Sus scrofa: one gene and its partners. The protein of the gene in region 4 binds, or shares a complex with, the protein of the main gene of each other region. Links are inferred from orthologs where the notes say so. Each region holds a gene or a part of one and is shown on either strand. Other genes may lie near its edges.

What was found.
Region 1: STX5 (region 4) and BNIP1 share a complex: the UniProt entries of both Homo sapiens proteins name them as parts of the SNARE complex. The link is inferred for Sus scrofa from reciprocal best matches to the Homo sapiens genes STX5 and BNIP1.
Region 2: STX5 (region 4) and STX4 share a complex: the UniProt entries of both Homo sapiens proteins name them as parts of the SNARE complex. The link is inferred for Sus scrofa from reciprocal best matches to the Homo sapiens genes STX5 and STX4.
Region 3: STX5 (region 4) and BET1L share a complex: the UniProt entries of both Homo sapiens proteins name them as parts of the SNARE complex. The link is inferred for Sus scrofa from reciprocal best matches to the Homo sapiens genes STX5 and BET1L.

Annotation. Positions count from the first base shown.
Region 1 is NC_010458.4:51,135,480-51,143,167, forward strand, and holds the start of BNIP1 (vesicle transport protein SEC20), read right to left. Parts: upstream 4,911-7,688; 5' UTR 4,636-4,910; coding exon 4,552-4,635; intron 4,209-4,551; exon of another isoform or gene 2,967-4,208; intron 2,110-2,966; coding exon 2,017-2,109; intron 1-2,016. UniProt on the Homo sapiens protein: As part of a SNARE complex may be involved in endoplasmic reticulum membranes fusion and be required for the maintenance of endoplasmic reticulum organization. Also plays a role in apoptosis.
Region 2 is NC_010445.4:17,420,425-17,427,335, forward strand, and holds the end of STX4 (syntaxin-4), read right to left. Parts: intron 5,845-6,911; coding exon 5,736-5,844; intron 5,665-5,735; coding exon 5,588-5,664; intron 4,093-5,587; coding exon 3,955-4,092; intron 2,491-3,954; coding exon 2,380-2,490; intron 2,282-2,379; coding exon 2,201-2,281; 3' UTR 2,183-2,200; intron 2,090-2,182; 3' UTR 1,842-2,089; downstream 1-1,841. UniProt on the Homo sapiens protein: Plasma membrane t-SNARE that mediates docking of transport vesicles. Necessary for the translocation of SLC2A4 from intracellular vesicles to the plasma membrane.
Region 3 is NC_010444.4:26,196-33,824, forward strand, and holds BET1L (BET1-like protein), read right to left. Parts: upstream 4,267-7,629; 5' UTR 3,912-4,266; coding exon 3,854-3,911; intron 3,163-3,853; coding exon 3,071-3,162; intron 2,832-3,070; coding exon 2,775-2,831; intron 2,652-2,774; coding exon 2,484-2,651; 3' UTR 2,464-2,483; exon of another isoform or gene 930-2,463; 3' UTR 280-929; downstream 1-279. Other genes in the region: RIC8A (synembryn-A), read left to right, coding at 6,099-6,182, 6,458-6,505, 6,592-7,182. UniProt on the Homo sapiens protein: Vesicle SNARE required for targeting and fusion of retrograde transport vesicles with the Golgi complex. Required for the integrity of the Golgi complex.
Region 4 is NC_010444.4:8,963,133-8,970,237, reverse strand, and holds the end of STX5 (syntaxin-5), read right to left. Parts: intron 2,467-7,105; coding exon 2,307-2,466; 3' UTR 1,728-2,306; downstream 1-1,727. Other genes in the region: NXF1 (nuclear RNA export factor 1), read right to left, coding at 143-458. UniProt on the Homo sapiens protein: Mediates endoplasmic reticulum to Golgi transport.

The DNA of each region.
Region 1 (7,688 bases), on a different chromosome or scaffold from region 4:
GCTGCCAGCCTATGCCAGAGCCACAGCAACGCGGGATCCGAGCCACGTCTGCAACCTACACCACAGCTCATGGCAACGCCGGATCCTTAACCCACTGAGCAAGGGCAGGGATTGAACCCGCAACCTCATGGTTCCTAGTCGGATTCATTAACCACTGCACCACGACAGGAACTCCCCCAAAATGATTTTAAAAGCTAACACAGGAGTTCCCCCTGTGGCGTTAACGGGATGGGTGGTATCTCTGTAGCGCCAGGTCACAGGTTCCATCCCCCCTCTGGCTCAGGGGGTCAAAGATCCAGCGTTGCTGCAGCTGTGGCATAGGTCACAGTTATAGGTTGCAACTCTGAGTCGAATCCCTCACCTGGGAACTCCATAGCCACAGGATAGCCAAAACAAACAAACACTGGAGCCTACAAATCCCACTCTGATATAGGACAGAACTATCACACTGCTGTTTCTAAATGCTTACTCTCAATCTCTGTACATATTTCACTGCAGACTGGTAGCAAACAGGGTTTTAAAGTCCATGTAGGGACAGAAAAAGCATTTTTGTCCATTTGAGGCTGGGAATGGGAACAGAGAATACCACTAAGCTAGGACTGCAAAATACACCCTCCATGAAAAGGTGCACTAAGAAAATGTCTGTCAACCCACACAGAGAAAACATGGAAGCTTGTCCTTTTTTCCTGTGGGGTCTGGCTAGAGGGATGTAAAATTAATCTCCCTGGAGAATATATAACCACAGAGCTACCCTCACACTGATCTGGGGCTCAAATTCATCCTCCGTGGGTGGTTCAAGAACTTCCATGAGGGAGTTCCCATTGTAGCTCAGCAGTAACGAACCCGACTGGTATCCATGAGAACAGGAGTTTAATCCCTGGCCTCACTCAGTGGGTTAAGGATCCAGTGTTGCAGGCAAATGGCCACAGCTCTGATTTAACCCTTAGCCTGGGAACCTCCATATGCTGAGGGTACAGCCCTAAAAAGACCAAAAAAAAAAAAAAAAAAAAAAAAGAATGAGGACGAAGTTCCCATTGTGGCTGAGCGGGTTAAGAACCTGACTAGTATGCATTAAGATGCGGGTTTGATCCCTGGCCTCACTCAGTGGGTTAAGGATCCAGTGTTGCCATGTGCTATGGTGTAGATCAAAGATGTGGCTTGGATCCCATGTTGCTGTGGCATAGGCCGGCAGCTATAGCTCCAATTTGACTCCTAGCCTGGGAACTTACATATGCCGCAGGTACAGCCCCAAAAAGCAAAAAAAAAAAAAAGGATAAGGAAACTTCCTAATACTGACATGGAAAGATCTACAATATATATTGTTAAGTTTTAAAAAATTAAAATGATTAAATCAGTACTAGAGATGGAGGCGGAAAGAGACCAGCTAGGTTCAGTGACATTGCTGACAACCTAGAGTGACCTCCTTTGACAAAAACTGCATACTGGCAAAACTGCCCTTGAAAATCCCTTAGAAAGCAACACAGGACATGGACATTCTGTTTCTCAGGGTCCAAACTGCCAGTTTTTCAAGTATCTTTGGAACAGACTGTCTTCTTCTGTTAAGCAACAAGGGCTGGCATTTGGGACCAGGTCAGATAAAAAGCACAAGTCTCTAAATCCAGCATCACATGGATGGAGACCAGGTGCCCCAAGACCCGCCCAGGGATGGACAGACCCATGCTACCAGCTTACCCTCACTCAGGGCACAGCACAGAAACACCTACTTTCCTTGCTCTAATGATTTTGGAAACAGCACATATACCCTAGTTGAATTCAAGACTGTTACATAAGCATATGATGCGACTAGAGACACAGAAACAGAGAGGAAGAGGCCAAAGTGACAGTATGAAAAAAAAAACCATTACCAGATAATTGTAATGAATTGAGGTGGATGGGTTAGAGAGAGGGGTAGAGAAAAGAAAGTTAATTCAAGTGATCTCTGAGTCTTCAAGTTGAAAAATTCCAAGGACAATGAATGCTGCCCAGTCTCAGCATCCCTGCTCTGCGGACACTTACCTGTATTCTGTGCCGCAACTGTTGAAATTTTTCTTTCACTTTAGTATTCAGTTCCGTAAGTGCACTTAAGGGTCCTGAACAATCTCGAATATCCTAGGAAAAAGTGAAGAGATGAGGGAGCCTTTCTCAAGGCAATGAAATGAAACGACACCAGCTGTACCGTGAGAGAGTTGGCTTAGGTCACAACTAAGTTTGGCCTACTAACTGAAATTCATCCTGATCTTTGATGTTTACCTCTACAACACAAGCAAAAACAATGTAATTTACATTTTTCTCATCCCGCTTTAGATAACTTCTCAGCAAGTAACATAAAAGCACAGATAGAAACACAACTCTATCTTGACCTATTAGTTCCTGAAGTTTACCAAAACTCCATTCAGCCATTATGAAAGACTTAAAGCAACTTGTGACAGGAATGGACATCTAAAAGACAGACTGTAGCTTTACTTTAATGGTGGGGGGCACTCCTATGGCATATGGAGGTTCCCAGGCTAGGGGTCCAATGGGAGCTACAGCTGCCAGCCTACGCCCACAGTCACAGCAACAGAGGATCTGAGCAGCGTCTGTGACCTACAGCACAGCTCACAGCAACGCCAGATCCTTAACCCACTGAGTGAGGCCAGGGATTGAACTCACAACCTCATGGTTCCTAGTCGGATTCATTTCCACTGCGCTACAATGGGAACTCTGACGTATTATAACATTAGACTGTAATGTTACATGGTTCCAACTTAAAAGTCAGGATGCGGAGTTCCCGTCGTGGCGCAGTGGTTAACGAATCCGACTAGGAACCATGAGGTTACGGGTTTGGTCCCTGCCCTTGCTCAGTGAGTTAACGATCCGGCGTTGCCGTGAGCTGTGGTGTAGGATGCAGACGCGGCTCGGATCCCATGTTGCTGTGGCTCTGGCATAGGCCGGTGGCTACAGCTCCGATTGGACCTCTAGCCTGGGAACCTCCATATGCCGCGGGAGCGGCCCAAAGAAATAGCAAAAAGACCAAAAAAAAAGTCAGGATGCTAATATTTGGCATTATATGACAAGATTAACTTCTTGATCTAATTTTATAAACCCTCTATTGTAAGTCACTGTTTATAAACATGCTCAAAGATAGATTTAGAATTTGCTTCTGGACATTCAGAATTTCCAGGGCCAGGTTTTAAAGCAGGCCCTAGGATATATTATGTACATTCAAATTCTGGTTGTAGCAATTATAAGCTGTTTTATTTTACCTTGAAAAAGTTACTGAGTCCTATGTGCCTTAGTTTCCTCATCCCAACATTACCTACTTCATAGATCAGGTATGTAGTAAAGGGTTTAGCAGAGGAGTTGGAACACAGTAAGAATGCGCTAACTCTAGCTATGATCAACTGTTCTCATCACAAGAACAAAGAGAGCTAGAGAGTGCCCAAAAGGGCTTAAGCAATATAGATTATGTGAAAAGACAGTTTCGTTTGTTTTATGACTCCTCAACTTATTTTTCTAAAATTGGCCCAGAGGTTTGTAGTTTATACATCGGAAACATGAAGTTCAAGAGTTTAACTGTTTGCATCAAGTTGCCTCACTTGTTCTATGGATTATGCATTAAATCACACTTCTTTGCTCCATATAATAAACTATTAATTTGGTTTATTTTGCATTTGGCTTCTGTGGGGAGCCTTATTTTCCTCCACCTTTTACCACAGTTGGCTGCAAATTCTCAGTCTACATCCAACGTTTAGTAACGTTTGTTGTAAATGGAAACGATCTGCCTCAAATGAAGATTTTAAACTCTTGGTTTCCTTTTGCTAAACTCAAGTAACCATTTCTACATTCCTAACTCTTGCCTATGCCAAGGGGTTTATTGTTATCTTCTACCCTCAAACGGCCTAAAACAAAGGACCTCAATTACCCCATCTGTTAAACGAAGTAGACTCAAGTCTTTTTTCTATACTGACTTTCCCTGTCCGACCCCAGTTTTGCCATTATCTGCCCTCTGACCCAGGCCTTGGCCCTTGACTCGATTTCCTAATTTACAAATCACAACGTCCAGGTTACGTTCACTTCATCCAGTGCCTCCCGCGCCAAGGGGCCTTTGGTGACCCGGGACATCAGACCCACGGAACTGGCCACAGGGGCCGGGGTTAACGGCCCCCAGGACTCTACCAAAGGATGGAAAGGGCGGTGTCAGAAGGCAGGGCCAAGCAGGATGACAGGTAAATTGGAGACTGGGGCAGGGCGAGGAAACGGCCGGAGTGGGGCAGGGGCCACAAAAAGGTAGCCAGGCCTGAGGCGGAGGCTGGGGAAGGGAGAGGGAGAGGAGAGGCCTTGGAGAGGGCGAGCCAACGGGAGCCGGAAGAAGGATCAAGGAGAAGAGTCCAGGGGATGAAGGGAACGGGACCAAAAGGGGAGCAGCTAGGAAAAGGGGGCGGGGCCAGCGACCTCGGAGACTTGACCAGATGGGGAAAGCTCAGCAGTGAGACCGCCGAGCTGAAAGAAAACCAAAACCACTTGGGTTTCGGGCCGCTGGTCCCCATTGGGGGTCCTGGGAATTAGTACCTGAATAAGCGCCTTCACTTCCAGGTCGAATTTAACAATCTCTTGGTTACAGATCCGTACGTGGACATCCTGGGGAGCCGCCATGTTGGGGAATGCTGACTACGGACAGCCGCGGGGCCCAAGTTCCAACGCGTTTTCTCCCGGCCTCCCTTCCTTCCCGGCCGGGCCTTGGGGCAGCGCCCCCTAAAGACCGGCCTGCGGCGAGCGAGGGCGGCGGCGCAGTGGTGGGGACTTTCCCTGACACGTGGGCGCGCACTCAGTCGGCCTGTTGGTGTGGATCTAGTTAAGAGAGAGAGAGAGAGAGAGAGAGAGCGAGAGCGAGAGCGAGAGCCGAGGGTATTATCGAGAACGCTTTAACGGTGATCCCTCCGCATACTCCGCCCATCAGCCACTCTAAAGAATGCGGGGTTTTTTGCATGGGGGCGGGGGGTGGGGGGAACCGCTGGAAGAAAAGTATCAACTGGGATATCTCTGAAAGGTATAATTAACAATTGTTTACACTTTTTTAAACTTTCTTGTATTTTCATATTTTCTACAGTGAATATAAATTGTGGAATGAAAGAAAAAAATGACAAACGTTGTTACACTTTTTTAAATATACGAAATTCAAGGCAAGTCCCTAGGGAATCTTCTGTTAGTCCAGCTTGAGTGCTAGGGATCTTTGCGTCTAAAATGCGCAACTGGTAAGTCACATTCCAGTTTATACCCCTTCTCTGCTCCTGGCGGTTCCCTTTTGTGTACAATTAGATTTATTAAATAATTTACCTGGCTGGAGTAGTTTTGATGGAAATAACAACCTGGCTGTTGTCTCTCTCTCAACAGACAGAGAGTCTTTCACTTTATTTTTCTTATAAAATAGTCCAAGTTTCTTAACTTGGCCCTCAAGACCATCAGCTACCCCACCCAGCGCCCCCGCCCCCCTTGCATTCTTCAAGCTCTTTTTGGGTCCGTAGTTGTGGGGTTTTTGTTTTGTTTTTTGGGTGGTTTCTCTTTGGCTGTGCCTGGGACATGTGGAAGTTCCTGGGCCAGGGATTGAACCTTTGCCGGAGCAGCAACCCCAGCCATTGCAGTGACAGTGCTGGATGCTTAACACCCTGAGCAAATGGGAAGTCTGGATCTGTAGTTGTGGAATGTGCTTTTCTCCTTCTTAGAATGCTTTTCCCCACTTGCCCTCACCCCATTCACCTTTGTTCTGCAATCATAGACTGGGAAAAACTGAGTGTCAGCTGTTGCCCTTTAGCCTCACAACCACCCTTGAAATAGGTAATAACCCAGTTTCACAGTTCGGGAGTTGGACTAAGGCCAGATCAAAACAAAACAAAAAACGAGTTCCCGTCGTGGCTCAGTGGTTAACGAATCCGACTAGGAACCATGAGGTTTTGAATTTGATCTCTGGCTTTGCTCTGTGGGTTAAGGATCTGGCATTGCAGTGGGCTGTTGTGTAGGTCGCAGACGAGGCTCAGATCTGGTGTTGCTGTGGCTCTGGTGTAGGCTGCGGTCTGGGAACCGATGAGGGGTCCAGTTAGACCTCTACCCTGGGAACCTCCACATGCCGTGGGTACGGCCCTAGAAAAGACAAAAAAGACAAAAACAGAACAAAACATCCTTGCCCCAAGGTTGCCCAAATTAAAAGTGGCAGAGCCTTAAGTGAAAGCCCTATCTTCCTTCCCTCAAAAACCAAATATGGCCCCTTGAATAGTGTCGAATAAGGGGGGAGCTGCGTGCTCCCACATCTGTATTCCTCCAGTGTTCCACACCCCCTCCCTCCAGGCCTTCATTATTCCACTGCATCTAATAGAGAGGCCACGTGAGGGTTAAGGCAGGCTTCCCCTCTCGGTACTTCAGCCTCCTCAGAGGCTAGCTGGTGGAGATCACAGCTACATGAAGTCATACATAAAAAGCACCAAGCACAATGTAGTAATGTGGCACATGCTAAGAATGCAAAGCACATTGGCCGCTATTATTATATTACTGACATTTGTGGCACTCTTCCCTTGTGCCAGGAACTTTATATGAAGTGCTTTATGTGTATCATTCTTTCACAACAGCCCTGAGGTAGAATTATCCACTTCCTACAGATAAAGAAACAGGCACAGAGAGAATAATGACTTGCCCAGCGCAATGGAATGGCTAGGTCGAAGGTTACATGCATTTCAAAATTCTAATACATACAACTGCATTGCTTTTCTTAGAGGTTATATCAATTTACACTCCCACCAGCGATGTGGTATGAACGCCCGCTTTCTCATGGCCTCACCCACATGGTGTGATAACAAACACTGGGATTTTTGCCAATTGGATCAAGTGAAAAATGCCACCTTTTAATTTGCATTTCTCTTATCATGAATAAGGTTGAGAACTATTTGTATTTACTGTTTTTCTATTAGGTTGTTGGTCTTTTGCCTATCCATTCCCAGGAGCTCTTTATTCATTAGGAGGATTTGTTCCTACAGATAAGCTTTGCCTCTTTTTTTTTTTTTTTTTTTTGTCTTTTTGCTATTTCTTTGGGCTGCTCCCACGGCACATGGAGGTTCCCAGGCTAGGGGTCTAATCGGAGCTGTAGCCGCCGGCCTACGCCAGAGCCACAGCACCGCAGGATCCGAGCCACGTCTGCAACCTACACCACAGCTCACGGCAACGCCGGATCCTTAACCCACTGAGCAAGGGCAGGGACCGAACCCGCAACCTCATGGTTCCTAGTCGGATTCGTTAACCACTGCGCCACGACAGGAACTCCGCTTTGCCTCTTAAGCTACAGAATTTTGACTTCGTTTAAGTATTTTGGGTTTTTTTTTGTTTGTTTTTTGTCTTTTTGCCTTTTCTAGGGCTGCTCCTGTGGCACATGGAGTTCCCAGGCTAGGGGGCCAATCGGAGCTGTAGCCACAGCAATGCGGGATCTGAGCCACGTCTGCGACCTACACCACAGCTCACGGCAATGCCGGATGCTTAACCCACTGAGCAAGGCCAGGGATCGAACCTGAAACCTCATGGTTCCTAGTCGGATTCATTAACCACTGAGCCATGATGGGAACTCCCGTTTAAGTATTTTGGACCTTCAAGATTTGAAATTTTTTATTTCTGTTTCATATATAATTTGTTAATCTTCATTTATGACTCCTAGATTTGAGATCCCATTA
Region 2 (6,911 bases), on a different chromosome or scaffold from region 4:
CTGAGGCCCCGCCCATATCAGCGTCCTCTAATTGCTCACTCCTTCAGGACGCCCTAAGGACCAATCCTGATGCTCTTCAGGAACAACATTTAGGTCCACTGGCCAATCATTTTCCAGGTGGCGACCGGGTCACCAACACCCCCTCTGGCACGCCCCGCCCCGTACAGTGTACCCTCGGACTTCGCGCAGGCACCATGCAACGGTGCAACACGTCCACAGGGAGGCGCTGTAGGCGGGCGCCCAGCCGCGAATGGAGGCTGAGCTGGCCTAGTGGCAGCGCGCCCCTGCGACTCTCTCTCTCTCTCTCTCTCTCTCTCTCTCTCTCTCTCTCACCCCTCCTCCAACCCGAGTGCAGGGGCTGGGTCCCAGTCTGCACCAAAGACAGCACGTGGCCAGCCCTTCCTGGACTCTCATCAGCCTGGCACCCACGTGTGTACCCGATGCAAGCGATATTGCGGCCCGATGCGCGCTGGGCAGCCAGGAGAAGCAGCGGCAACCTGTGGGATCGAAAGTGGGATGGGACTGGGCGGCTGGAACCCGGCCCCCAGACTTTGGTCGGGGTCAGGCGCCGCCCTACCACTACCAGGCTTAGGAGCCAGAAGCCAGCTTCCTGAAACCAGGGGTCTGAAGACTGGCAGCACATCCAGCTCCAGAACTAGGCAGGGCACCTGCAACTCTTCGAAATTTAAAGTCCGGAGCTCAGGTGAGTTATGGAAACCTGGGGTCAGGCTCCCCTGCCTCCTCTATCCTCTTCAGCCACAAGACCCCTGGGAAACAAGGTGAGCTGATCCAGGGTGGATGGCTCATTAGCCTGAACTCCTATCTAAAAGGCAATGCTTTTTCTGGGCACAGGGCCTGGCCTCCTGAACCCTCTGCCTGGCAACCTCTTCCCTGATTCTTCCCCTCCTCATTAAGCACCACACTCAAATATCACCACCTCCGAGACAGGCCCTCCCTGCCAACAACCATGTTCCCAGTGTAGCTCAGCAGTAACAAACCTGACTAGTATATCCACGAGGATGTGGTTCAATCCCTGGCCTCATTCAGTGGGTTAAAGATCGGGCATTGCCATGGCTGTGGCGTAGGCCAGCAGCTGCAGCTCCGATTCAGCCCCTAGCCTGAGAACTTCCATGTGCTTCAGGTGCAGCCCTAAAAAGAAAAGAAAAAAAAGTAAGACCAAAAAAAAAAAAAAAAAAAAAAAAAAAAAAGGAGTTCCCGACATGGCTCAGTGAATAACAAATCCAACTAGGAACCATGAGGTTGCAAGTTCGATCCCTGGCCTCACTCAGTGGGTTAAGGATCTGGTGTTGCCGTGAGCTGTGGTGTAGGTGGCAGACGCGGCTCGGATCCTGCATTGCTGTGGTGTGGTGTAGACTGGCAGCTACAGCTCCAATTAGACCCCTAGCCTGGGAACCTCCATATGCCGTGGGAGTGGCCCTAGAAATGGAAAAAAAAAAAAAAAAATTAACAGAGGCAATTATTTGTCACAGTGCCTCTTCTTGGCCTCAGCAGCGCCCTCAGATGCCACACACACACACTCAGCTCACCCGTGTCCAGCCTGGCCTGGCCCAGCCTCGCTGCTGTGGGGTTAGGTGGTCACGGGGTCTTTCCCCAGGGACAGTGGGTTGATGTGGGTGTTACCCCCTCCCGGCCCCACCTGTTCTCATGGGAGAGTAGAAGGGCAGTGGCAGGCTGGCATGGCCACAGCACCCAGGACAGTCTGATCTGAGGCTACCTGGGCTGGGCCTGTCCGCAAGGGTGGCCAGGAGGTGGAAGGCGGTGGAGACCTGGAGGCCCTGGACCAGCCTTTTCAGCAACACATGTGCAAAGGAGATTCTCCAAACTTTTTTTTTTTTTTTTTTAATTTCTTACAAAACCACGGGTCCCAGCCAAAGAGGACACGGCAGGCCTGCCCCCAGGCATGGTGGCCCAAGGGGGGGAGGCCCCATGGATGAGTGGCTGCCGGCCCTGGAAGAACCGTCTGCCCCTCTGGCCAGTGTGAGGAAGGGGTCGGGCTGGAGGCTCTGTCCTGCCCACCCCTGGCTTCGGGGAGGGAAGGCAGCCCCTGGGTCCCTGGTGCTCTTAGCGCCTGCAAGGGAAGGAGGGAGAAGAGGGTCTGAGGGGAGGAGGAGAGGCTGGGGGCAGGGAGGGGGCAGGCTGGGGGGGCCCCACAGAATCTCACCGAGAATCCACGATGCTGTCACACCAGAATGGAGACGCTAATGATGACCACCAGGATAAGGAGAGTGACGGACAAACAGATGGCGATAAAGACTTTCTTCTGTAGGAGAGGAGGAGGGGGGATGGTCGGGGAAACTCTCGGGGGGCGGGGGGAGAGAGCCCCCCCCAGGGCAGGGGAGTGGGTGGCGGGACGCTCACCTTCCTTGCCTTCTTCTGGTTCTCCAGGGCCATCTTGACGTGTTCCTGCCCACGTTCCACATAGTCTGCTGAGCTCAGAATGTTCTTCTCGATTCGGTTGATCATCTCCCCCTGCTCAGAAGAGGAGGGAGGGTTCAGGCGGGTAGGAGGGACTCGGGGTGGAGGCCCAGCAGCTCCTCTGTCTGCCCACCACAGCCCCAAGACTGAAGGGCGTTCCTGGCTGAAAACAGGGCACTAACAAAGGCATGGAGAAGTTCCCATTGTGACTCAGCGGGTTAAGAACCTGATTCGTACCCAGAGGATGCGGGTTCGATCCCTGGCCTCGCTCAGTGGATTAAGGATCCGGCGTTGCCGTGAGCTGTGGTGTAGGTCACAGATGCAGCTCAGATCTGGTGTTGCTGTGGCTGTGGTGTAGGCTGGCAGCTGCACCTCTGATTCAGCCCTTAGCCTGGGAACTTCCATATGCCCTGGGTGCGGCCCTAAAAAGACAAAACAAAAAACAAAAGTGGAGGCAGGACCACATCTGGCCGAAGTTCACACTCCAAAGGGGGCTTCCAAGCCCCCTTCTACCTTGTGGTCCCTTCTGCCCTGCTCCCTTGCCACCTATAGCCTCTACTGGCAGGGCTGGCTGGGAGCTGGGTGCCTTTAATGGCTCATATCTTTTCATGGAGGGCAAGCTTCTGTCCCCTCACAAATCAGTCTGAATTCACCTGTTCTAGGCCTGACTCCCAGCTGCTGTGAAGCTCCCTGATCCCTGTCTCCTCCCGGCACTGCCAGCCTTCAGGTCCTGGTGCTCCTGCTGAGCAAAATCTCTTCCCTGGGAAGAGCAATGGCTCCAGCACTCACGGGGTAAGAGCTCCTTCTGGACGGGGTTGGAAGCACCCCTTCTCTTATAGACCAGGGCTGGGAGAAGAACACCATCGCCCGCCCCATGCTTGTGCAAGTTCTGGGAGGCAGGTCCTCTGGGGGGCAGTTCAGGTGCTCTCAGAGGTATAAGGGTGGAGTCTGTTAGTGGAGGGGGAGCCAAAGTTGGGGCCATGCCCGAGGTGGGCTCAAGTTTGAGGACTGGGGTGCAGTGCACAGAAGAGTGGCCATCTGGGTAGCTGTTGAGGAGGATACGATTTTTCTTTTCTTTCTTTCTTTTTTTTTTTTTCTTTTTAGGGCTGCACCCATAGCATATGGAAGTTCCCAGGCTAGGGGATGAATTGGAGCTGCAGCTGCCGGCCTACGCCACAGCCAAAGCGATGCAGGATCCGAGCCGCATCTGCAACCTACACCACAGCTCACAGCATTGCCAGATCCTTGACCCATGGAGCGAGGCTAGGGATCGAACCCACATCCGCATGGATACTAGCTGGGTTCATTATCGCTAAGCCCCAGGGGGAACTCCTGAGGAGGACGCAATTTGGAGGCACAGCTAAGATGGAAGTACAGGCCAGTCTGGAGGAGAACAGAAGCCTCGCAGAGAGAGGCTAAGAGTGGAGGTGGGCGGACAGTCACAGCAGGGGTTCTGGTTGAGCAAGGTCTCACATGTGGGGGCAGGATCAAGCCCAGCCGGCTGCCTGGGGCGCCCACCTGCATCTCCACCTCCGTAGCCAGAAAAGTGAAGATCTCATGAAGTTCACGGATACTGCGCTCGAGCTGCTGGATCTCGCTGTGCCGGGCCGAGATCTCATTTAGAGCCTGTCGAGTCACCTGTGTGTCCTTCAGTATCTGGAGAGTGGACAGGGGTGGAGGGAGAGGTCACAGGGAAACCAGCCATAGGCTCAGAAGTTCATGGTGATGCATGAAAGTAAACTCAAAATGGCTTAAAGACTTAAATATAAGACAAGACACCATCAAACTCCTGGAAGAGAACAAAGGCAAAACATTCTCAGACATCAACCTTATGGCTATTTTCTCCCAAAGCAACAGAAATAAAAGCAAAAATAAACCAATGGGACCTAATCAAACCGACAAGCTTTTGCACAGCAAAGAAAACCAAAAAGAAAACAAAAAGACAACTTACAGAATGGGAGAAAATAGCTTCAAATGATGCAACTGACAAGGGCTTAATCTCTAGAATATATAAGCAACTTACACAACTCAACCACAAAAAAGCCAACAACCCAATGGAAAAATGGGCAAAAGATCTGAACAGACATTTCTCCAAGGAAGATATACAGATGGCCAACAAGCACATGAAAAAATGCTCAATGTCCCTGATTATTAGAGAAATGCAAATCAAACCTACCACGAGATACCATCTCACACCAGTCAGAATGGCCATCATTAATAAGTCCACAAATAACAAATGCTGGAGGGGGTGTGGAGAAAAAGGAACCCTCCTGCACTGTTGGTGGGCATGTAAGCTGGTACAACCACTATGGAAAACAGTATGGAGATACCTTAGATATCTATACATAGAACTACCATATGACCCCACAATCCCACTCTTGGGCATATATCCAGACAAAACTTTCCTTAGAAAAAACACATGTACCCGCATATTCACTGCAGCACAATTCACAATTGCCAAGACATGGAAACAACCCAAATGTCCATCGACAGATGATTGGATTAGGAAGATGCGGTATATATACACAATGGAATACTACTCAGCCATAAAAAAGAACGAAATAATGCCATTTGCAGCAACATGGATGGAACTGTAGACTCTCATGCTGAGTGAAGTAAGTCAGAAAGAGAAAGACAAATACCATAGGATATCACTTATATCTGGAAGCTAATATATGGCACAAATGAACCTTTCCACAGAAAAGAAAATCATGGACTTGGAGAACAGACTTGTGGTTGCCGAGGGGGAGGGGGAGGAAGTGGGGTGGATGGGGCGCTTGGGGCGCATAGATTCAGACTATTGCCTTTGGAATGGATTAGCAATGAGATCCTGCTGTGTGGCACTGGGAACTGTGTCTAGTCACTTATGAGGGAGCCTGATAATGTGAGAAAATAGAATGTGTACATGTACGTGTAACCAGGTCACCGTGCTATACAGCAGGAAAAAAAGTTGTATTGGAGAAATAACAATTAAGAAAAAAACAGAAAGAAGTTCATGGTGAGCCTTGGGGCAGCCCTCCGGCCTAGAACCGGGGCCAGGGCCCTGAGGAGTGATCCCAGGCAGGCTCCTTCATTCCCTTCTGGGCCTCAGGATTCCCTCCATGCAAAAGGGCCGGGACTCAGAGCGGACAGAAGGAGGCCGGCCACTCACGTTGGACACAAACACCTCGCTCTGCCCGCTGTCCAGCATCTGCTCCAGCTCCTCGTCAGACACCATGCCAGCATTTGCTGTGAAGGGAAAGGCCAGGCTCAGCGCTGGTCAGGTCACCTGACCCGGCAGGCCCGGCGCCGCAACTCACTGATCTTCAGCTGCCTCCGGATCCGCTCCACGTTCTTCTCCCGGTACTCGGACTGCATGGAGTTGCACTTGTTGATGAGCTCCACGAATTGCTGGGACAGGACCCCATGCTAAGGAGGGAGAAGAGAGGCTGGGCACCCCTGGGAGGATCCCTGCTCCCTCGGGGCCTCAGCATCCCCATGGGTACAGGGAGCAAAGAGCATGAGCTGTTACAGGTGCCTGTCGCCTTAACCGCCTTGAATGGGCTCCTCCAGTCCCTCAAGGTGAAAGTCAAAGCCCTCCCCAAGGGCCTGAGAGGCCCTATATGACCCACCCCTCTCCCTGGTTCCCATCTAACCTCACCTTCCAATACTGTTTCCTCACTCCTTCCCTCCAGCCATAGTGGGCTCCTTACTCCTCCATGAACAAAGGACAGCCCCAGCTCGGGCCTTTGTACTCGCCCCTCCTTGGGCCTAAAATGCTCAGGCCCCACAAAGGTAATTAGTCTGTGTTTCAAGGTCGCCCTCTTATTTATTTATTTATTTGCCGCCCCCCCCTTCCTTTTTGTGCTTTTTAGGGCTGCACCCAAGGCATATGGAGCTTCCCAGTCTAGGGGTCAAATTGGAGCCACAGTTGCCAGCCTATAGCACAGCCACAGCAACACAAGATCTGAGCTGCACCTGCCACCTACACCACAGCTCACGGCAAGGCAGATCCTTAACCCACTGAGCAAGGCCAGGGATTGAACCCGCAACCTCATGATTACTAGTCAGATTCGTTTTCGCTGTGCCACAACAGGAACTCCAATTTTCTTTTTTGCTTTTTATTTATTTATTTATTTATTTATTTATTTATTTATTTATTTATTTATTTTTTAGGGTTTCACCCGTGGCATATGGAAGTTCCCAGGCTAGGGGTTGAATTGGAGCTGCAGCTTCCAGCCTACACCACAGCCACAGCAACGTGGGATCTAAGCCCCAGCTCACCACAATACAGGTCTTTAATCCACCAAGGGAGGCCAGGGATCGAACCTGCATCCTCATGAATACTAGTCGGGTTCATTACCGCTGAACCACAAGGGGAACTCCCTCAATATCACCTTGTGAACAGAGTTTTCTCTGCCTTATTGCAATTGCTACTTGCCTTCTCCTAGTGTTCTCAATCCCTCTTCTCCTGCTCTGGTCCCTTAACCCACCCT
Region 3 (7,629 bases), about 8.9 Mb from region 4:
CTGTGGGACTTTAGTCACGAAAAGGCAGTGACGCCACCTTCCCCAACTTAGTCACAGAAACCTGGGGAGAAAAAGGTCCAGCAGCAGGACGTAGTGAGTCCACGCCTGCCCCCCCGCCCCCCGCCCCAGGGGACGAGTAAGGACGGGAGCAGGGCCCGAGAGAAGGGGAAAGAAGCCACGTGGAGACCACCGTGCCCAGGGCAAGGCTGTGGACCAAGGTCAGTTCCAGACAAAACTCTCGGAGGCCCTGAAGGAAATGCAAACACCAAAGACTATGTGTTTACTTAATCGAGAATCTGTTTATTCCAAGTTTTTATGACCAAATGCCTTGTCCTTGACTTGGGGCCCTCCCTTGGCACAGAGGACTCCAAGGCCTCTTCTGTTTTAGTCTGAAGGGCCACTTAGCAAACCCCACTTATCCACAGGAGGAGGTGCTGAGTGCACAGGGCTGAGCAGAAGGGTGCAGGCCCCACAGAAAACCCTGCCGACGTGGTGGCAGCAGCATTCAGGAACTCAGCCTAATGCAACAAAAAAGTAAACCAGACAGAGACAAAAACCCAGACCCCAAAATAGCTGGAAGAGCTGCCAAGAGCCATGGAAATGAAGTGGGGAGGCAGAGGTGGGGACCCAAGGAGAGAACACAGCAACCAGAGGTCTCGGAGGGGGCAGAGCACTTCTTGAGACAGTCATTCTGAAAGGCAAATCCTCAATTCCTGGTCTGCACTGGCAAGACGAGTGGGCACAGCAGGTAAGAGCATCCTGGGGGGAGCAACAGCCATGGCTGAGCCATATTCTCAGGAAGCCAGGTTAGCAGGCCCAGAACAGGCGGCTGCCACACTCAGGTCTGATGTGTCTGCCGTGCCTGTGGTGACCCGATGGAAACACGACACGGCAGCAGCTGCTGAGCTTCATGAACAGTAGGCACGTCCCTGTGACAAATTTCAACATGAGATGAGCTGACGGCTGAGTCGAAGCCATGGAGGCAAGGAAGCGGACCTCACCGAGTGAGAAACAAGCACACACTGGAGGGATGGAGGCAGTAAGAACAGAGCACTCGGAAATGAGAAGGTAGCACGCTCCCCTTCCAGAAGGCTGAGGCCCAACCAGGCGCAGTGGAAAAGAGAAGGGCATTATGGTGAGTGTGAGACAAGCCAGGCCTGCTCGGTGGAGAACAAAGGAGAGAGAGAGGAGGAGCAGGAGCAGCAGGGCCAGAAGGTGAGGTGCCCAGGGCCAGAGACCAGAGCAGGGTGGGGTGGCAGGAGTTGAGAGGCACAGGCTGTGGCTGACATATGACCACATGTGTATGTGTGAAGATGGCCGGTGAGCCGGTAGCCCTCAGAGAGTGAAGGGGAGTGACCAGGAAGACAGAGAACTGGAACAAAAGACGGGAAGGACAGAGCTGATGACTCGTTTCTTACAGGTGTTTTCATGGGAAGACACTGAGATCTCACAGTGGGGTAGAAAGACCCATTGGTTTGGAAGAAACTGCAGTTCACCTTGTGTGAGCAGGAGACTGACCAGTGGGCACTGAGGGCCCAAGGAGAGATGGGCAGATACTGTAGGTGGAAGGGCCAGACTCGGTGGAAACTGTCCGCGGACCCTCAAAAAGCGACCTACAGATCCTATGAAAAGCTGTTACCTGGAAGCCTCCAGGCTGTACCCACAGAGGCCCCTGCTCACACCCTGCCTGACTCTGACATGCCAGATGAGCCTCTTTCTAGAGATCTGGGCTCCTGGAAACGTGTCTCGGTGCTGGACAGACCCTGAATCCTGAGAAAAGGTCAGTTTCTGCTCCTGGACACAGGGAGACCAGGAGGACCTGGGCCCGCGTCTTCAGCCAATGCTGCAGTTCACTTCTCCACGCATGGCCACTGCCCTTCCCTGAGGGTCGGGCTCCAGCCATGGGGTTGGACGGCAGGCAGACACCTCTCGGCAGGACCCTTGACTCTTGCTGGTCCACCAGTGCCCGGCAGCCCTGGCCAGGAGCAACGGCCATCTCTGGTTTGAGGACCCTTGGCTGAAAGTGACAGCAATGATTCGAGGTTCACAGTCGCACCCCTTCCTGTGTCGGCTCTGGGCACCTCGAATACCAGACGTGGCCTTATCCAGACCAAGACCAAGCAGAGAAGCCTCAATACATCAGAACCCTGAGGGCTGGGGGAAGGGCTGCTGGTCACAGGTGGTCACGTCCAGGATTCCCAGCTGCTCTGCTCCAACCTGGCTCTGCTAGGGCTTCTAGCACCCAAGATGGCAGAGGAAGCTGGGCCTTGGTTACCCAATGGGGATGGGCCCCTTGCACACATGGGACCAGCTAACATGAGCTTACTGGGTCAGAGGCTCCCAGCCACACAGGAAAAAGATTCCTAAGCCATGCTCATCACTTCGAAGGGGTATTTTGTAGGTAGATCTTCTGGAGCCCAGGACACAAGGCAGAGGAAGACCCTGGTTGTCCCAGGTACCTACAGAAACCAGTTCCCACTGGCTCACGTCCTTGCCCTTGACAGGAGGTAGGAGAGGATGAAGAAGACCACGATCAGGCCCATGGCCACACCACAGAGAAGCTTCCGGTTGTCTCGCCCAGATCTCGCCATTGTGGAAAAGCGCTTCACACTCCCCGTGAGGAGGCCCGTCACACTCGTGAAATCCGAGTCCTAAGGGAGGAATCCTAGCATTGTCACACGGGGCAGCAACTCCACAGCACACACACGCGGGGGGGGGGGGGGGGGTGCCTGCAGGGCAGGTAACGTGGGGCCGAGAACACCGCAGACCCTTACCATGCCGTCCAGGTACCGGTTCTGGTCCTCCACATCCCTATCAATGTCCAAGGCCAGCTGCTCAGGACACAGAGGGGACAGGGTCAGGCCAGGACAAAAATAACGGACTGTTCCTAACCCCCCACGGCATCAGCAGAGGTCAGGAGATCCAAATGTCACCTGGGCCAGCACAGGTGAGTGCTGCCATGTACGGGACAAAGAGAGAACTATCTGGACCCCTTCCAGGCCTCCACCCTCCCTCTGACGCCCTCCTCCAGAAGGCCAGATGGAGGTGAAAGGAGAGGACCACCACTGACCGACTTGAGCCTGGTGACCTTGGAGGCCAAGGTGTCCGCCATCCGCTTGTTCTCCCGGTCTAGAATCTCCTCCACAGCGCCGGGGCTCTGAGCTGTGAGAAGAGACAGAGAGGGGGTGAGAGTGTGCACCCACCCACGCGCACCCTCTTGACCTCTGCCCTCAGGGCTCTCACTCCAATTCCATCTAGTCCAGGGGGACTGGGCTTTCCTGTGTCTGCTGAACAGGTCCTGCCCTAACCCAGGGTCCAAAGCGTGAACTTCACACACGAGACAGCCGCGTGAAGGACAGCGTGCGAGAGCACTTGTTCTGTGTAGGCATCCAAGCCCGGATGGGTGGGCAGCACCTTCTGATACTCTGTGACAAAACCTGTACCATCCCCTCTGGATGGACTGGTATGTCAGCCCAGATGTCACCAGCGACGTAGAGGGGACCTGTTCTCAGAGAAAACCAGTAAACTCTGGCAAGGACTTAGGAAAAAGTCATGAACAGAAGGGGAGGTCGATCTCACGAGCAGGGCATAGATCTGCTCAGCTCTGCATCCTACACAGAGCCTTACACAACACCCAGAGCAGTGGTTGCTGAGACCTGGCCCAGGACAGGGGCTGGGACTTATGACTTGACTTGGTATAACCATCCTATCAAGTAGATGAGAACTGCCTCCCCAAGTTCACAGGCCAGATTTGCCGTGGGCCAGATGTCTCAGGGAGGCTCATCTAATAGGATCACAACCCTAGAAATCATGGATGTGTAAAGATGCCACGAGATGTTAGCATCCTACCAACCGCTTTCATCCATTAAATCTGTAAATGCCGCAAGCCCAGCGGAAACAAGCATCAGCATCCCACTTCGCAGATAAGAACAGGGGTTCCCAGAGGGCAAGTGGGCCACTCCCAGCCCCAGTCGGTACGAGGCCTTCTTGGGCCATCACGCGCAGCCCTCACTCCTTGGGGCTGGCCTCCGGAACAGTCGACCAGCCCGTCTGGCTGAGGTCCCGTGCAGAACAGTCTCACGAGGGCGGAAGGGGTGGGGACAGCGGACATCCGGACCCCGCAGCTTCACCGAGAAGCCGGGCAAGACCGCCCGAGGGCCCCACCCACGCCGCCCTGGCTCCGCCTGTTCTCAGTGTCTGCCGGCCAAAGCCACCCAGAGAGGCGGGGGCGGGCGAAAGCGACTCCTGCAGGCAGCGGCATCGGTTCCAGCACCGCCGCCACCTGCCTCCGCTCCCCAATGCTCACCCCGAGCCCAGTCCGCCATCGCGCCCAGCACGGACCCGCAGAGCTACAGCCTCCCGGGATGTGGCGCAGCCGTCGGGGAGGGACTTCCCGTCCCGCCCCTTCCGCCCGGGGCCCTCCAACTTCCGGCCGAGCGGGCGAGCGGGCTGGACGGAGAAGAACTGACGTTTCCTCCACCGCCTGCCTTGTGAACAGGGCCGCTGGTTCGCTCCTGGGACTGCTGGAAGGTTATCGTTTTTAATAGCATCATGGTGCCGACAGACAATTCCGCGGCCATTCCTGCCGAAGGCGGTGTCAAATCCTAACTGGAAAGAGCTCACGGCCCTTTCTCAGGCGAGAGAGGCTCCTCGCGGCGACACGGCCCGGGGTCCGAGGCCCGCCCGGCTGCGGTGCGGTTAAGGCGAGGACTCGGTGTGAAGCACGCTCCAGATGCTGCCGGCGGGATAAAGAGGGGATCAGTGCCTGGAACAAGCGAGCGCTGCAAAAATCTCAGGGATGAAGCACTTGAAGGAAAACGGGAAATCAGGAAGAAGAGTGGGAGCGTGAGGGGAGTTAGGGGCAGGAGGAGCCGGTGCTGCGACCTTGCACCCGGGCACTGACAAGGGGTCTGGCACAAAATAGATGCTCAACAAAGGCTTGTTGCGCAGTGGGTGGAGTATATGTTATTCACCCACTGTAATGGAGCATTCACTCTGTGTCGTTTAGTGCTGACAACCCACCGAAATGGGACCTTTTATCATCTCTGCTTTTCAAAAGAGGGAACTGGGTCCAGGCCAGAAGATGTGTCTGCTTACACAGCCAGGAAGTCCCTGCACATGATCAGGCTTTGCCTTCATCCTGACCTGGACCTTCCCTCCCCACTCTCCCCTGTCTCTCAGCCCCAACAATGATCTCTTTCTCCTACAACGGCCATTCCCACCTTTACTCTGCCGGCTCCTTCGGCCTTGAATGAACTTCCCCCACATCCCTTCCTGGCTCACTTCTTCCTCTGGTCTCAGCAAAAGCGACACTTATTCAAATCCCCTTGGAGCCCATCAGGCCCCTTTTTCAATCACAGCACTATGACTGCTTAAAGTCTTCCCGTTTTCCCGTTTTTGTTTTCACCTCTGCAATATAAGCTCCACGAAGGCAAGGACCTGTGGGTTCTGTTCACCCACATCCTGGTTCCTTGCATGCTGTAGGCCCTCAAACGCCTGCTTAATAAACAAAGTGGTCCCGGGGCTGCAAAGTCCTTTCCACTTCGTCTTTCCTCGGAACATCTCATTCGTTCTGTACATCAAGAGGGGTGTAGTGTGCGTGTAATAGCGGGGTGAGAAGCTAAGGCCCTCTCCCGTAGGGAATTCACTGCTCGGAGCCGGAGCGATTCAGGCCCGTGGTCGGATAACCACTGAGTCGGACACTGAAAGGCAACGTGACTAGACATCAAAGCCTTTAAATTCCCGAGGGCTCTTCTAGGCCTCTCCACTTTAAGGCGCGCGCAGCCCGGGCCCCCGCCCCGCGCGGCGCCGCGCGCAGCCCGGGCCCCCGCCCCGCGCGGCGCCGCGCGCAGCCCGGGCCCCCGCCCCGCGCGGCGCCGCGCGCAGCCCGGGCCCCCGCCCCGCGCGGCGCCGCGCGCAGCCCGGGCCCCCGCCCCGCGCGGCGCCGCGCGCAGCCCGGGCCCCCGCCCGCGCGGCGCCGCGCACGCCCCTTCCCGGCCTCCCCCGCGCGCCGAGCTAGGGCCGGGCGGGCCGTCTGGGGCCCAGAGCCTTGGAGCGAGGTACCTTCCGCTTCCTCGGGCCGGGGTCCCGGGAGCGCCATGGAGCCTCGGGCGGTAGTGGATGCTATAGAGACGGGGGAGGAGGACGTGGTTATGGAGGCTCTGCGCGCCTACAACCGGGAGGTGAGCGGGAGCTATGGACGTGGGACGCGCAGGGAGGAGGTGGGGCTGGGTGGGTCCCGCGCGCGTGGCCGGCGGGGAGGGTGTGAGTGGTGAGCGTGGCGGAAGGCTGAGGGTGTTGGCGAGCACGGCGGGGAGGGGCACCGAGTCTTTGAAGAGTTGCTGGGGGTGCCGTGGGGAAAGGGAGCCCTGTCTATTGAGAGCGGTGTCTGCGGCCTTGGAGCTCGGATTCTGCTTCGGTGGACCTGTGCCTCCTAATCTTCTGGGTCTGTTTGCAGAACTCCCAGAGCTTCACGTTTGACGATGCCCAACAGGAGGACAGGAAGGTGGGTGCTTATCAAGGGTAAAGGGGCAGGGACGGGTGGCCCAGGTAGAGGAGCCTGATGGAACCGCTCTATTCCCCTGCCCACAGAGACTGGCGGAGCTGCTGGTCTCAGTCCTGGAGCAGGGCTTGTCACCTTCCCGCCGAGTCATCTGGCTGCAGAGCATCCGCATCCTGTCGAGGGACCGCAGCTGCCTGGACTCGTTCACCAGCCGCCAGAGCCTGCAAGCGCTTGCCTGCTATGCTGGCATCTCTGCTTCGAAGGGGTCGTGTCCTGAGACTCTGGACATGGATGTTGTGCTCGAGTCCCTTAAGTGCCTGTGCAACCTCGTGCTGAGCAGCTCCGTGGCACAGGTGCTCGCCGCAGAGGCGGGGCTAGTGGTGAGGCTCGCAGAGCGAGTGAGACTGTACCGCCAGAGCAGCTTCCCGCATGACGTCCAGTTCTTTGACTTGCGCCTCCTCTTCTTGCTAACGGCGCTTCGCACTGATGTGCGCAGGCAGCTGTTTGAGGAGCTGCAGGGAGTGCACCTGCTGACCGAGGCACTGGAGCTGACGCTGGGAATGACCCCTGGAGAGGGACCCCCGGAACTCCTTCCTTCCCAGGAGACCGAACGGGCCATGGAGATCCTCAAAGTGCTTTTCAACATCACCTTCGACTCCATCAAGAGGGAGGTGGATGAGGTGAGGGCTGGCCTCAGCCTTCGGTTGGGCTTAACAACTAGGATGCTTCCGGGACCTGCCTCTCTGCCAGGTACCCTCAAGTTTCTGGGTGTCGGACCAGGAGGACATCTGCACAGCAGCGCTTGTCAGGAGGAGGCAGGGAGGTGCCCGTTCCGTATAAGGGCATCGAGGAATCAGAGCGCGTATCTGGCTCTTGCAACACCAGGAGTGCTGTGTGGTGTGGGGGCAGGCTGTAGGAGATTCTTCGGGGGGCGGGGGGCGAGAGCACAGAGTGACTTCATCCCAAAGGGACCTGTTGATGTCCCTAACCACGAGAGTGCTCTTAAGGTCACATAAGTGAGGCTGAGCAGCCAGGTGTGGTGGAGGAGATGCATGGCCTGCATGAGGTCTGGCCGTGGGCCAGGCAGTAGATGTTCAGCAGGCAGCAGTGGGGGTGAGTGGCACTTT
Region 4 (7,105 bases):
CCCGGGCCCGCGCCGCGCCACCGCCGTTCCCCGTGGACGCCGGGCCCCTCGCGGCCTCACGCCCCGGCGCTGCGGCCTAGGCTGGCGCAGCCCAGCAGGGCCCAAGATCGACCGGCTCCCCGACCCAAGGGCCAGCACTGACCGTTGTATGACTTCCCTTCGTCCGCCATGGCGCAGCGAGCAGGGGCGGGCTCTGTCGCGGCCCGCGACACCGGCAAACGTCCGAACGCCCAGGCTCTCCCGGCTGAAGTGCTCCTACGCCGGATGCCGCCGCATTTATGCGGCCAGCGCGTCGCGCGCAGCCGACGTCCCACGGTGATGGGCGGAACCACTGGGAGACGCGCGTGCGCATTCGACGAGCGGACTAGCCGGGGGCGGGACTTGGCGTTGCACGCCCCGCCCAGGACCTGAGCTTGGGAAGCCGAGTTACCGCGGGTTCGCCGGCCCCCTGCTTTCATCCACCCCGCCGCTAGTAGCTCTCTGCTGGAGCACCTCCAGGGTCAGCGGTGAAGCGGAGAGGTGGCTACTGCAGCCCAGGATTCCGAGAGGAACAGGGAAGAGGGGCTACAGGAAGGGCTTCCGAGGAGTGGGAGACCAGGCCCTTAGGAGCGGGAGTGACCGCACATAGACACCTAGAAGGATCCAGCCAGGGCAAGTCTCAGCTCAGCCCTTTGACACTTGCAGATCTAGGCCTCGGTCTCCTCGCCTATAAAATGAAATAGAAAACTAACGGTAAACTCCTAGAGAGCAGGGGCTTGATTAATTCACGGCTTTTTCTCTCCGGCACCTGACTGGATACCATACTTAGCACGCACGCAGCAGGAACCCAACATATATTTGTGAAATAACTACTGATCTATGCATTCCCTCCGAGAGAGTTGCAATCAAAGGAGAGAAAAACGGCATTTGCCAGGCTTTGGCTGTCTTCACAAACCAACCCACCCACCAACCCACCGGGATGTGCTATGCTAAACCCACGTCTTGTGTCAACTGGGCAGTGAGGAGGCCAGCCTGACCACACGCTGAACACAGGCCAAAGGGAGAGGAAATATTAAAATGCCATGGCTAGGAAAGACCTGGGCTCTCCTGGACCCCTCAAAGTACTGGGGCCAGCACAGTGTATAGTGACTGTTGTCTCTACAGCTTGAGCTTCCTTTCGGGTGTGTGAAGTGGGGGAACTCCAGTGATGCAGGATGATGTGGTTCTGGGTCCTGGTCAGGACTAGAAAGCATATTAACCTCCCTGGAGGGTGGGTGTTCCAGGCAGGTCACTCCTTCATTCTTCTGACTGGCTTGGATGTGGTGAGGGGCTTCAAGGGGACCAAGAGCCTCAGCTGGAGCTGGGAACGGATTCTTCATGTCACCTTCACTCCTAGCAGCAGGCAGGGCTCCTACTTCATCCAGCGCAAGTAAGTTTGGGGCCAAATGGTTGGAGCATGCAGATGAGACAGGTCCAAATACTTCTGGAGATGGTCCTGGAAGTTGCCGTCAATCAGGGACCCAGGCTGGGATCCTGTTACGGGCCTCTGAAGGGAAGTTTCCATGCTAACTAAGTGCTGCTACACCTGGAAACCCCCTGCGGGAGGCAGCTGTGTGCACAGAGTGAGTGAGCCTGGCCCGTCAGGGCCATCAGCCCAACCCTTTTAGTTATGATGCTGGGCAGTGGGCTCACTCCACTTGCTGCCAAGGCCCTTCGACGCTCCCACCCCGAAATGACGACATGGCTAGTGAGGCTGACAGTCTTGTTGTAATTGGGAGGAAACGGGCCGCAGCACATTTGGCAGATTGAGAGTCATCTGCAGCCAGAGTTGGGGTTGTGTAGGCAGCCAAAGGGCTCAGGGCCCCTTGCCTCACATGGTGAAGAGAGGAAGAGGTAAATTTTAACCCAGATGGGAAAGTTGGTCCCTGGGGAAGTTTCACTTCCTCTCCTCACTCTCAGGAAGGTGGGGAAGGGCATCATCTCCCCTTGCTGCCAGAGTTGAGAAAGGCTGGGGAGGGTTTATAAAAATCTCCAGTGGAGACAACCTCCCCGAAGAGCCCTCCAGTTGGCCTCTGCTCCCTTCCAGCCACTTCACAGCAGAGTCCAAATCCAGAACCGTGTGTTTCATGGGCCTGAGGATGGTGAGGGGAGGACAGGGTGGCCAGAGGCAAGGAGTGGGAGATCAGGGGCAGTGGCCGTTCTTAGCAGTTCCAGGGAAACAGGGCCTTTCTCCCAAGCACCCTGCACAGGCTCAGTGGCAGCTCTGGCCACCTGCCCTCCCAGGAGGGTTCCAAACCCCCACGGAATGCCTCAGCGTTGGAGAGGGTTCAGGCAAGGAAGACCACGAAGATGATGAAGAAGACAATGAGGATGAGGAAGATTTTGACCATAAGCCACCGGTTGGACGTGACCGACTGGAAGTACTTGAGGATCTCCGAGTGGGCGGCCTCAACGTCCAGCTGGGCTCCTAGCACGTTCTCGTCGATCCTGGAGAGAGGGCCGAGAGGAGGGGAAAAAGAGTGACACTTGATTAAAAGGAATGCTGTTGAAATGTATTTTTGTGTGTGTGTACATGTATTTGTAGATGGGAGAGCTCTGGGAGCTCCCATTGTGGCACACAGTAGGTTAAGAATCCGACTGCATCGGCTCGGGTCACTGCAAAAAACACGGGTCTGATCCCCAGCCCAACGCAGTGGGTTAGGTTAGAGGATCCGGCATTGCCACAGCTGAGGCTTGAATTCAACCCCTGGCCCAGGAACTTCCATATGCTGTGGGTGCAGCCGTTTAAAAAAGAAAAGAGGGGAGTTCCCATTGTGGCTCAGCGGTTAATGAACCCGACTAACATCCATGAGGATGCCAGTTTGATCCCTGGCCTCGCTCAGTGAGTGAGTTAAGGATCTTTTGTTGTCGTGAGCTGTGGTATAAGTCGCAGACGTGGCTAGGATCCTGTGTTGCTGTGGCTGTGGTGTAAGCCGGCACCGACAGCTCCTATTTGACCCCTAGCCTGGGAATCTCCATATGCCGTGGATGCAGCCCTAAAAAGACAAAAGACCAAAACAAAACAAAAAAATATATCTATATTACCCTTCCAGAAAATGCTCTGGAAGGGTAATATAAACAAATCTTGGCTCTGGTTTGAAAATCAGCTCTGTAGCATATGACCCTAAGCCAGTCACTTAACCCCAAGTCTCATTTTCCTCAACTGCAAAGGAGAAAATTCAGATAACACAAACCACACCTCTCTAGCTGCTGTCAGTCTTAAATGAGTAGAGTGCCTAACTCATACTAAAAGGACCCAAAATGTTAGTCATTATAATTTTTTGCACATCAGTATTTATGGATTTTTCTCTGATAAGCAGTATTGCCTTTGTAATAACGGGGGAAAGGTCACAGGCCATTATGGTCAGGAAACCCTGGTTCTGAGTGAGAAAGGAAGAAAAACTTGATGATACGGACAGAAAGGAGATAAAGAAAAGCCCCAGGGGAGTTCCTGCTGTGGCTTAGCAAGTTAACTCAACATAGTGTCTATGAGGAGGCAGATTCGATCCCTGGCCTTGTCAGTGGGCTAAGGATCCCGTGTAGGTCTCAGATGTGGCTCAGATCTGGCATTACTGTGGCTGTGGTGTAAGCCAGCAGCTGTAGCTTCAATTCAACCCCTAGCCCAGGAACTTCCATATGCTGCAGGTGCAGCCATAAAAAGAAAAAAAGAAAAGCCCAAGGGAGTTCCCTGGTAGTCTACCGGTTAAGAACTTGGCATTGTAACTGCTGTGGCTTGAGTTCGATTCCTAGCACGGGAACTTCTGCGTGCCACAGGCATGGCCAAAAAAGAAAGGAAAAGAAAAGAAAAGCCCGATATTAGAACATGTCTCTCAGGATATAGAGAAGTCCTCAGAAGAATGAATGGCAATCTCTTGAGAGGCTGCTGAGGAAAATAAAACATTTCCCAGCTAACGTGCATGTGCAATCCTGAAAACGAAATATGAACCCTGGTCTTTGCAAAGGGAGTCGCAGGGAGCAGAAACCATCGTGCGCTGTGAGGACAGAAAAGTTGGTGAAGGCTGGGAATCAAGTAGGCAAGTGAGAGGAAAGGCTGGGCTGGTGACTGCAAGTCCAAGGTCCTGGGAAGGTGGTCACGAGACTATCAGGTAATCTCTGGCCAAACACTGGAGCATGAATTGTATGATTCCCTGTTTATGTCAGAGAAGCTAACAAACGTATCAGGTTTCCCAGCTTTGGGCTATAATTACATTTCTCAGTGTGGATGCATTTGTCATCCCATAGCCAATAAAGCTCATTCACACTGACAATCATAATGGCTCTGCTTAACAAAAATGGAAAAGCAATCAAATCAATCTGGCATATGGAAGATTTTTATTTTATTTTATTTTTTTGGCCATGCCTAAAGCATGTGAAAATTCCCAGGCCAGGGACTGAACCTGAACCACAGCAGTGACACAAGTGGTTGCAGTTCCAAGGGAACTCCTAAAACATTTCAAATGGGAGACCGTGAATGAAAACTAATACAAGGGAAATCTAGGGGTGATAAAATTAGGCATCAGTGGGATATTCAGAGGAATCAGTAGGGGAGTTAAAAGTCAGAAAGGAATGGGGAGAAAATAATGACTTGGGAGGGAAAAGACTGAGGAAAACAGAGAGGAGAACAGTTCGCAACGTTTTACAGAAAGAAAACCATAGAGGGAAGTAATTAAGCAATAAGAAGCTGGAGTCTTGCTGAACACAAAGGATGGATGATGAAACTGCTATCAGAGGCATGGACAGCCAGAGGACGAGAAGGTAAGTATAAGGTGGGAATGACAAAAAAGGAGTTTGATGGAAGAAGATAGAGAACTCAAGAACTAGAAGGACTATTTGACCATCTGACCGTGCCTAGGAGATCTTGGATTTTAGTTCTTTTGGCTTCAGTTTCCCCAAAACGTCATAATTACTGAGAGTAACTGGATCATGTTCAGTGGATACAGAAGCTGCCTTGAAGTAGCTCCTAGTGGCCAGAAATCTGACTGTAGTAAAGAATAATGATGGTGCAAATCAACCATAGTAAAATAAATTAGTTAAAAAAGAATGATATTAGTAATTTTTAAAATTACTATTTACTATAGTAATTTCATTGTTTTATTTTATTTTTGCTTTTTAGGGCTGCACCCGTGGCATATGGAGTTTCTCAGGCTAGGGTCAAATTGGAGCTGCAGCTGCTGGCCTATGCCACAGCCACAACAACAGCAACTTGGGATCCTAGCCGAATCTTTGACCTACACCACAGCTCACAGCCAACGCTGGATCCTTAACCCACTGCACGAGGCCAGGGATCAAACTGGCATCCTCATGGATACTAGTTCGTTAACCACTGAGCTACGATGGGAACTCCTATAGTAATTTTATTTTATTTTTTGTCTTTTTAGGGCCGAGCCCACTACATGCAAAAGTTCCCAGGCCAGGGATCGAACCTGAGCCTCAGCAGTGACAATGCCAAATCCTTAGCTGCTAGGCCACCAGGGAACTCCTCTAGAGTGATGCTTTGAGTCCCTATGAATGTCCAGCTCCTTAGCCCTATGATGATCCATGCCTGACTCATTTGTGAGAATGAGTATGGCAAAATGGTAATTTTCTAATTTCTTCTACATTCATTAGCTGACAGAAGGAGCTTTCTCTCTTTAAAATTACTATAGAGGAGTTTCCATTGTGGCTCAGTGGGAACTCCTCTACAGTAGTTTGTGTTTTTATTTATTTTTTTAATAGCAGTTTTTTTGGGGACAGGAGTGACCAAAAAAAAAAAAAAGTGTCATTCATTCCACAGATGACTTGGTTTGATGGTCACCACCTTCAACAAATGACTAAACTTGGCATCACCAATGCCAAGAGGTAACCTCATCAAGTGCCTACCATAGGATCATCTATAGCTAGCCCCAAATATTTAACTTAATCACAGGTAAAACAGTGCACAAGTACACTGGCAGGCCTTTGAACAAGAGGCACTGGCCTCTAAAAAGAAAGAAAATATCACACATACATACACACAAAAACAAAAGGCAGATGAAGGCTTTAACAATCAACTGAAATGTGTGAATGCTGCCTGGGTCTTAAATGTAAGGAAAAAAAGCTAAAACTATTTCTTTAGAACAGTTGGGGAGGTTTGAGTTTAGATTGAGTACTGGATTTGCTGGAGACCTGTTAATTTCTTAGGCTTTGTAATGGTACGCATATTCAGGAGAATACCTATTCTTGGCAGATGCATGCTGAAGTATTTGGGGATAAATGTCATGATGTTTGCACTTAGATTTAAAGAAAATTTTCTTTATTATGGTTGATTTACGATGTTGTGCCAATTTCTGCTGCACAGCAAAGTGACTCAGTTTTATATATATATATGTATATATATGTGTGTATATATATATAAACATTCTTTTTTATATTATTTTAAATGATTCAGAAAAAAAGGGCAAGAGGAAGCAAATGTGATCAAACGTCAACAGTTGGTGAATCTATGTGAAAGGTACACGGGTGTTCATTATCCTCTCGGCTTTCCTGTGGTTTGAAAATCTTTGTCAAGTTGGTGGGAAAAAGAAAGTGACTAACTCTAGATGGGCAGTTTTTATACCTTACAAGGAAAAAGAAGCACCTATAGATCATCTCAAAAAAGCAAATTCTTAGGTCTCACATTCAGTGATTCTAGGGTGGGGCCCATGAAACTAACATACTGAGAACTTTGGACTAAATCAGTGGTTTCTAAGGAGGGTGCTTAACTCCAGGTTCACTGGCATTCCCAGGAAGCAAACACGAAGAGTAGCCATGTCTATTTGGAAAATATCATTCTTTCAAATTTCAATTTCTTGTTCACATCACTGTCCACAAGTTTTCTCTCCTTTGTTATTCCCCTTTTACGTTTCCAAGCCATTCAACTGAAATTGCTGGCACTGATTCAATTAACCAGAGCCCCCGGATCCAATTAACACCTGAGGATCCTTAACTCATGCTTCCTTCTCAGGGGCATCAAGAAATAGCCACTCCTTTCTCCCTAAAATTCCTTCCAGCTCAGCTTCTAAGAACACATCTCTGCTTTCTCCTCATCTTCGCAGTCTCTCGGACACATTCTTCCCTTTATCACAAGTGC